2 linked regions of the Callithrix jacchus genome follow. The protein of the gene in region 1 interacts with the protein of each later gene in a biochemical or structural test. Links are inferred from orthologs where the notes say so. Each region holds a gene or a part of one and is shown on either strand. Other genes may lie near its edges.

Region 1 (3,647 bases):
GCTACCCTAGTAGCTGGGACTACAGGTGCATGCCACCACGCCTGGCCAACTTTTGTATTTTTAGTAGAGATGGGTTTCACCATGTTGGCCAGGCTGGTCTCGAACTCCTAGCCTCATGTGATCCACTCACCTTAGCCTCCCAAAGTGGTGGGATTACAGGCGTGAGCCACTGTGCCCGGCCAAAAACTGACAACGTGTTGATGCTACACTGTCTTCAGTTATTTCAGTAGTTAGATATATGTTATATACACATATGGGGTCAAATATTTCAGAGACTAGGCATGATTGACGTCACCAAAGTTTTAAAACCAAACTAGTTAACTGGTCATTTAATAACATGGAAGTTCAATTGTTACATGGTTAAGAAGCAGCTAAATGTTAGCTGAGCTTGCTGTACTCATGATCTAGATAGACAGAAGGAGAATTAAAATAACATTTCAAAGTGTTTTAATAGAAAACCCCATGAGTGCCAAATGAGACACTATTGGATAAACATTTTCTTGTGTATATCAGACAGGGTTCTGGGATGAAGGTTGTCTCATGAAGCCTCCTGGCTCTCTGAGGTATACAGATAACTGTAAGTGGTATTGACATTGCTTCAGGAAGGCATGTGAAGGCCCTATAGAATGGAATTGATCTTCACATTGTCTCCTGTTGCTCTTAAAAAAGCACTCTCCTTCAGCTCTTCCAACCCTGAACTGCTAGAAAGCTTCAGGGATTAAAATTTTAAACTTTAGAATAATGATGATAATAATGAAATGATAGTGGTAGACAGTTTCTACTCATCCATCATCTGCTAAGTGCTTCATACACATGATCTCGAATTCTCTTTGTAATCCTGGAATTACTTCATTTTACAGTTGAGAAAATGAAGACGGCAAGAGGTTAAGAATAAGATATAGAAAATAAGGAGAATTAAAAATCTTACAGATTCGAAAATCTTTATGGAAACAACTGTTAGCATATTAATTGGGTTTAATAAGTGATAAGAAATCAACAATTTAAATATTGATTAAGGGAAAAATTGTCATGTCAGAGAAACTTTACAACTATGAAAACTTATTTTTCTGAAGAATAATTCATCTAGGTAATGTGTATGACATACTGTGAGAAAAATTGTTACCAACAGAATGGATGAGCTTAATTTTATTTAAAACACACACACACACACTCTCTCTCTCTCTCTCTCTCTCTCCACATATCTGTACTAAGAGAAGCCTGGAAGGGTATGCAACAAAGTATTTATAGCACTTTATAGGGAAAGTGGGATTATTGTTAACTCAATTTTTCCTTGTTCTTTTCTGGATTTTACAAATTTCCTACAATGAACAGTTATACCTTTTGTAATCAGAAAAAATACATAAATTATAGAGTTTAAAAAAAGTGATAGGAAAAATATAAGGAAAAGAGATTGAGACATTGCTTACGTGGAATAGGGTACGCAAACCGGTCTGGGTGCTTTGTGATGAGAGTGTTTTTTATGTGTCTTCTCCCAACACCATGTGCGCCTATGTCATTTAGAAAAAAGAATGTTAACGTTGACAACTGTTACTAATGTTCACAAAATGTTTTGAAAGTGAGAAGCAGCAACCCACTTACACAATCAAACTTACCTAATAAGACTAATGTTTTCCTTTTGAATGCTGGCAGTTTTACTACTTCTTCATATGTGACAAGATCTAATTGATCAAACACTAAAATGCAAAGATTTAGAAGAAAGGTAAATTTATGGAATGACTATTTCATGTATATAAAATTATAATCTTACTGGCAAAACTACAGTTATATTAAAACCATGTCTTAAAAATATGAATCCAACTTATGATATATGGCTTACATGTAATTTAAGTCATATAGCATCTAGGGAGAAATTTTCATTTTTAAGCCTATGAAAATGTGCTTTAGAACCAGGGGCATCCAAAGCTGCTGAATACATGCATTAAAATGTTCAATTCTAAAAGATACTACATATCTTTTCATGCAGTATCCAACAAATCATATGAATTCATTCGAAACCACATGCTGTTCATATTTTTCCAAGTCTAAGAAATCAGTAATACTAAAAAGAAAAAGTCTACAGACAGTGACCAACATGAATATAGCATGAATGCAACTGAAGTTAACCAGGAGACGGGCCAGCTAGATTATTTCTAGAGATGGATGAGAAATACATGGACAACTTTTCTTTTAACAGAGTTGATGAAGGTAGCATGCTAGATTGTAAAGCAAGTTCTTTAACTATTTCACAAGCTTATCAAAGAGCATCTCACAAGCTTGACTGTAACCCAGATATCCATTCAATGGAAAATCTTGAATATGCAAGGACAGATACATGCTTCCCTGGGCCTGAAAACTTGTCGCCCATTACTCGAGCAGCCTGTGTGTGGTAGATCAGGATGAAAAGAATCATGAAGCAGAGTCTAAGCTCAGAAACCCTTGCAAAAGTGGAGTTCTCTAATCACGCCAGACTGAGTGGAAAGACTTTAACAAATATTTTTCTGAAACCTGCTTCTTAACACTATCACAAAAACAATTTCAAGCAATGTACGAAACTTTCCTGAGCAGACGCCCATTCCTATTGAAATTTAACATGGTCCAATTCTCACACACATTTGAAAAATCTCACAAAGGGATAAAATTGTATGTCTGTGTTTCCTATAATATTTTTTGTATGGTCATACCCAAATGCTGTCAGTTGCATACTGACTTTCTTTTTGTAAAGAATATTGAATGAACCCTGTATTTTAGAGGGGTTAAAATAATTCAGTAAAATTGATTTGATGATGTAATAAAGGAATCTGGGCTACTTTATTTTTTATTTTATTTTTTAGAGATGGAGTCTTGCTCTGTCACCCAGGCTGGAGTGCAGTGGCACAATCTTGGCTTACTGCCACCTCCACCTCCTGGGTGCAAGCCATTCTCCTGCCTCAGCCTCCTGTGTAGTTGGGATTACAGGCACCTGCCATTATGCCCAGTTAATTTTTATATTTTTGTAGAGATGGGGTTTCACTATGTTGGCCAGGCTGGCCTTGAACTCCTGACCTCAGGTGATCCGCTGGCCTTGGCCTCCTGAAGTGCTGGGCTTACAGGCGTGAGCCACTGCACCCAGCCAAAACCTGTGATATCTTATTTTGCACTTTAAGTGATTGGGCAGATCACTAATGTTAAGAACTAAGGTCATATTTACAATCATTTTGCCATATTGTTTCAGGGAGTGGAAGGTTCTCTTAATGAATAAGATGCTTGGGAATAGAATAGATCAGAAACAAACAAACAAAAAGCACCATTATCACAATATATAAAAACAGAAATACAATATATTAGAGGTTAGTGTATATTAATGAGTATTTACACATTTGTTTTATTTCGAGAACTTGATTTATAAAGGTTGATTGAAAGTCTTTAAAGCATATCCTCTAGCAATAGCTAAAAACCAAGAAACGTTTTCTGTGTTCAGAATGGCAGGCTCACAAAATTAAAATGAACACGAGGCTCTCTGTGGTAGGGCCAGCTAGTTATACTGCAAAATAAAAGCAGGAGTGCTGATGGCATTATTTTTTAGACTTATTGCCCTCTGAGTGATATTTCCATCATGACAAACTATGCTTATGAAAGAAGTGCATTGACAAGCAGATATGTTTTAATAT
Region 2 (4,207 bases), on another chromosome or scaffold:
GTTGATCCTCATGACAAGTATTTGTTGGCGCGATCTCGGCTCACCGCAACCTCCGCCTCCTGGATTCAAGCAATTCTCCTGCCTCAGCTTCCTGAGTAGCTGGGACTACAGACGTGCACCACCATGCCCAGCTAATTTTTGTATTTTTAGTAGAGACGGGGTTTCACCATGTTGATGAGGATAGTCTTGATCTCTTGACCTTGTGATCCACCCGCCTCGGCCTCCCAAAGTGTGCCCGGCGGAACAAGTATTATTACTCCTATTTTATAGATTAAAAGACTAAGCGACTGCCTAAGAAACCAAGCTAGAACACAGGTGTGGTGGCTCTCATTTCCATCCTCATTTGCACTAACCAGATCACTCCCCTCCACCAACCCCAACCCACATCTAGCCTGATTTAAAAGTTACAAGATCAGTTCCTCCATCCCCTGGATATGCCGCTTCCCAGGACCCACTGTCCTAACAGGCTAATATGACATCATCTCAGGTTCGTTCCCTCTGCACTACTGTGGCTTGGTTCCCTGAAGGCACCTCCAAGCTCAAAATGGTGCTATCATAAACTTCCAGTGCCAGTATGTGATTATTTCAGGATTATCATAAATAATATAGGAAATTCGAGGGAGAGGGAAAAAAAGGAAGCAGTGGCAAAGGATAGGGAGGAAGCAGCTCCAGGAAGCTTTTAAGACTGACAGATAACTGTCACAGACAAAAACTGTTACAGTCACTCACCCAGAAGAAACTTCTGGGCTTAGGGGGAAAATACTGGCACAGTACAAAGGTTGGAAAAATCTCTAGTACAGAACCACAGTACTAACGAGTTCTTTAGTAACAGAACCACTGAACCAAAAATGACTATGGGTATCACTAGCAGTTCTAAAATACAGGCAGAAGTAAAATAGGCAAGGGGTAGGGAAAAAAGGGAAATAGAAGAAAAGGAAAATGGAGGAGCAGAATAAAAGGGAGACATGGCCAGGCATGGTGGCTCACACCTATAATCCCAGCACTTTGGGAGGCCAAGTTTGGCAAATCACCTGAGGTCGGGAGTTGGAGACCAGCCTGACCAACATGGAGAAACCCTGTCTCTACTGAATACAAAATTAGCTGGGCGTGGTGGCGCGTGCCAGCTACTCAGGAGGCTGAGACAGGAGACTCGCTTGAACCCAGGAGGTGAAGGTTGTGGTGAGCAGAGATAGTGGCATTGCACTCCAGCCTGGGTGACAAGAGCGAAACTCCGTCTCAAAAAAAAGGGGGGGGGGTGTAAATGAAGAAGCTATTGGGAAAGTAAAAGTTTAACGGTAAGAAAGATAGTAGATTCTGAAACAGTATCCCAAACAGTTCTTGTGCCATAGGGTACCGGAGATGCTGGATCCAAGAATGGCAAAAAAAAAAAAAAAAAAAAAAAAAAGCAAATCAAGAGAGTTTGGTTCCATTCCCAGGTTCCACCCCTAATTCTATTGTCAACCTGGAAAAGTCATTTCCCCTCTGGGACCCTTATTAGTAAAACAGAAAGAGAACTACATAAGCCTCTGGTCCAATCTCCCCCAAGAGTTTCTGTTTTTGTGATGAGGGACAAATGAGCAGTCAATCCGTGTAAGGGCAGGGAATCTAGAACTGCCCTTCAAAAACTTAGCAAAATTAATTGCCTTTACAACACAATGATTACAATACTGATTGTAATCATTCACTTACTTTACACTTTCTAAAACAAGAACCTTGGGGGTTGGGGGAGACTCATATACTGACACAACTACCCACACAAGGACACGCACAGACACTCAAGAATCAGACGGATAAACATACAGGTGCTGCCGCAGGTTGACTAACCCACAAACCAACCGACTACTCGCTCAGCCCCACACAAACACATCTAGAGACAGAGGCATGCCCTAGCAAGTGAGCCTCATTGTTCCTCAGGAAAGGGAGTTTACAAAGGAAACAAAAACTCTCATACACAGCCAGGAGGAGGGCAGAGCTGACTCTGATAAGAATCCAGCCAACCAACAGATACACTCTCCCCCTGGGAAGAGTCACTCAGTCAACAAAATGTATTAAGGACTCCTAAGGTAATTATTCCAGAAAAGAACTTCTCTGGAACCTATGCTGCGCTTGGAGAAATTTCAGGTTTCTACTTCATTTCCTCTTTAGACTGTTCACCCAGACATTTTCCCAGAGCAACAGCCGCAATCCAAAAATTCAGCGGAACCAGAGACTCCTTCAGCAAAAGCTAAGGACAGAGCCTTCCACCCCAGCCTGCCTCCATTTGATTTTCTCCGAGGACCCTTAAGGAGCCAAGGCTCCCGGCTGCGCAGCGGGGATTCGTGGATGCTGGGTGCGCCTTGGACGGGGAGGCTGGCCCTTCCCAGGTGCGTGTGGAGCGCGCGCTGGGTAGATGAGTTTGGAAGGGTCCTTGGCCCGAATGCTCTCGCCGTGAGGACGAGGAGTGTACTTCTGGTGTGTGCAGATGGGTCAGCTCCCTCCCAGTGGGCGTGAGGGGTGGGGTCACAACTCACTAGTGTGGGGGAGGGGAGCCAGCCACTCACCCGGCTGCGAGAGTGAAAGAAGAGGGACCAGGCAGGGGTGGAAAAGAGAATTAGGAGACCGAAGTAAGCAGGTTTCTGAGCTCCTCCTCTCCCGCGGGCCAGGGGCGTGGGGAGCGCCTTCCTCCAACCTCTGGCCCGACCAGCCGATTCCTCCCGAAACTCCGAGAACTTACACAACAGGATCTCCAAAACGAAGAGGCGCAACAGTTTCCTCTCGGCTTGCGCCTTCGTCCCCATCGCGACCAGGATCCCGATACGATACAACAGCCGCCGACTGACTCCGGGGAACAGACACAGCTCCTCAGACTGCAGCGCGGGGACTAAGAGCCAGCCGCCAGGTGGAGCCCCGCCCGGCCCCGCCCTCCGCGCCTGATTGGCCGGCTCCCCAACTCTGCACGTTCCGATTGGTGGAAGGAACCGCCGCTCCTCAGAGCAAGTCACCTCTGCCAGGTGCTACCTCGCCGCTGCTCCCCAGCAGGGCGCACTGGAGCCTTTCCCCACACGGGCTGCCTCTGATTGGCCCAGGAGACTGTCGCGTCAGAAGACGAATTCTTCACCTTCAGCAGCTGACGGCCACCTTCTTGGTGTTCCTGAAGTAGGGACTTCCTGCCCGGCTGGGTTCTCTCAGTTGGAGCTGGAGGGCTGTGAAGTACCTCTAACGAGGAGGTAGGGAAGGCAGTCGTGCTGTGGGATTTACAGAGACGGGCTAGTTTGGGTTTCGTATTTGTTTGAATGTAAGTTGCTTAGTGCAACTGCACCTGCAGTTTGGTACTGCAGAAACCTTGGTCCTGCCCCTTGGCAAGTGAAAACCACATGTGAATATGGGAGGGTGAGGGAGAAGACCGGGAGAGAAGTGGAATGTTACCTTGACACCACCTCCCAATTGTTCCTCTATCCACCCCACTCGCAGCGTTCACAGTCTTGAGAAATGAACTGCGCTGGGAGGAAGAAAGGGAAAAAAACAAGGGAAAGGGAGCTCAAATGGAAAATGGGAACCTGGGCAATACAGTCCCAGCTACTCGGGAGGCTGAAGTGGGAGGATGGCTTGAGCCCGGAGACGGAGGTTACAGTGAGCCTACATCACTGACCTCCAGCCTGGGCGACAGAGCCAGACCCTGTCTCAATCAAACAAACAACAACAACAACAAAGCCACAACAACATAACTTGGGAAAAGCAGAATTACATTATCTCAACCAGAAAGTTAAACAGATGTACACAAAACACACCCAGATGATACAAACTGAGCTGAACACGCTCTGTAAACATCTCTGGGTGTCTGTGGATATGTCCTTTACACATATCTGATCTGTGAACAGGTCCCTACATTTCAGAACTATTTGTTTTCTCACCATGACTAATAGTTGGGTGCTGACCAAACCACCTTTTTTCTATAGACAATGTTGATACTCAAACTTTCTGTTAATATTCATATTGTTATATCATTTTTAATTGAAATTCATGCTCAACACCTTTACTAGTTGTAGTTTCTATTTTAAGATGGTTTAATTTTAACTGTACTAAGCATATGCAGACTGTAGAAAAAACTTCCTTAGCATTACCTCATTGCAAGTGAAAAGACCACATTTTTATCCAAAAGAATGGTATTGTTTGACATTTTGCCTTTTTCACCTTTGCCCTCATTCCTTTGTTCCCATCTCTTCCTCCA

Evidence for each region. The genes of interacting proteins can lie anywhere in the genome.
Region 2: the proteins of CASK (region 1) and F11R form a complex in vitro, tested with the Homo sapiens proteins (2 studies listed by BioGRID and IntAct, with this or other methods). The link is inferred for Callithrix jacchus from reciprocal best matches to the Homo sapiens genes CASK and F11R.

Annotation. Positions count from the first base shown.
Region 1 is NC_133524.1:42,368,170-42,371,816, forward strand, and holds part of CASK (peripheral plasma membrane protein CASK), read right to left. Parts: intron 1,695-3,647; coding exon 1,614-1,694; intron 1,509-1,613; coding exon 1,428-1,508; intron 1-1,427. UniProt on the Homo sapiens protein: Multidomain scaffolding Mg(2+)-independent protein kinase that catalyzes the phosphotransfer from ATP to proteins such as NRXN1, and plays a role in synaptic transmembrane protein anchoring and ion channel trafficking.
Region 2 is NC_133519.1:20,880,025-20,884,231, forward strand, and holds the start of F11R (junctional adhesion molecule A), read right to left. Parts: upstream 2,863-4,207; 5' UTR 2,778-2,862; coding exon 2,714-2,777; intron 1-2,713. UniProt on the Homo sapiens protein: Seems to play a role in epithelial tight junction formation. Appears early in primordial forms of cell junctions and recruits PARD3.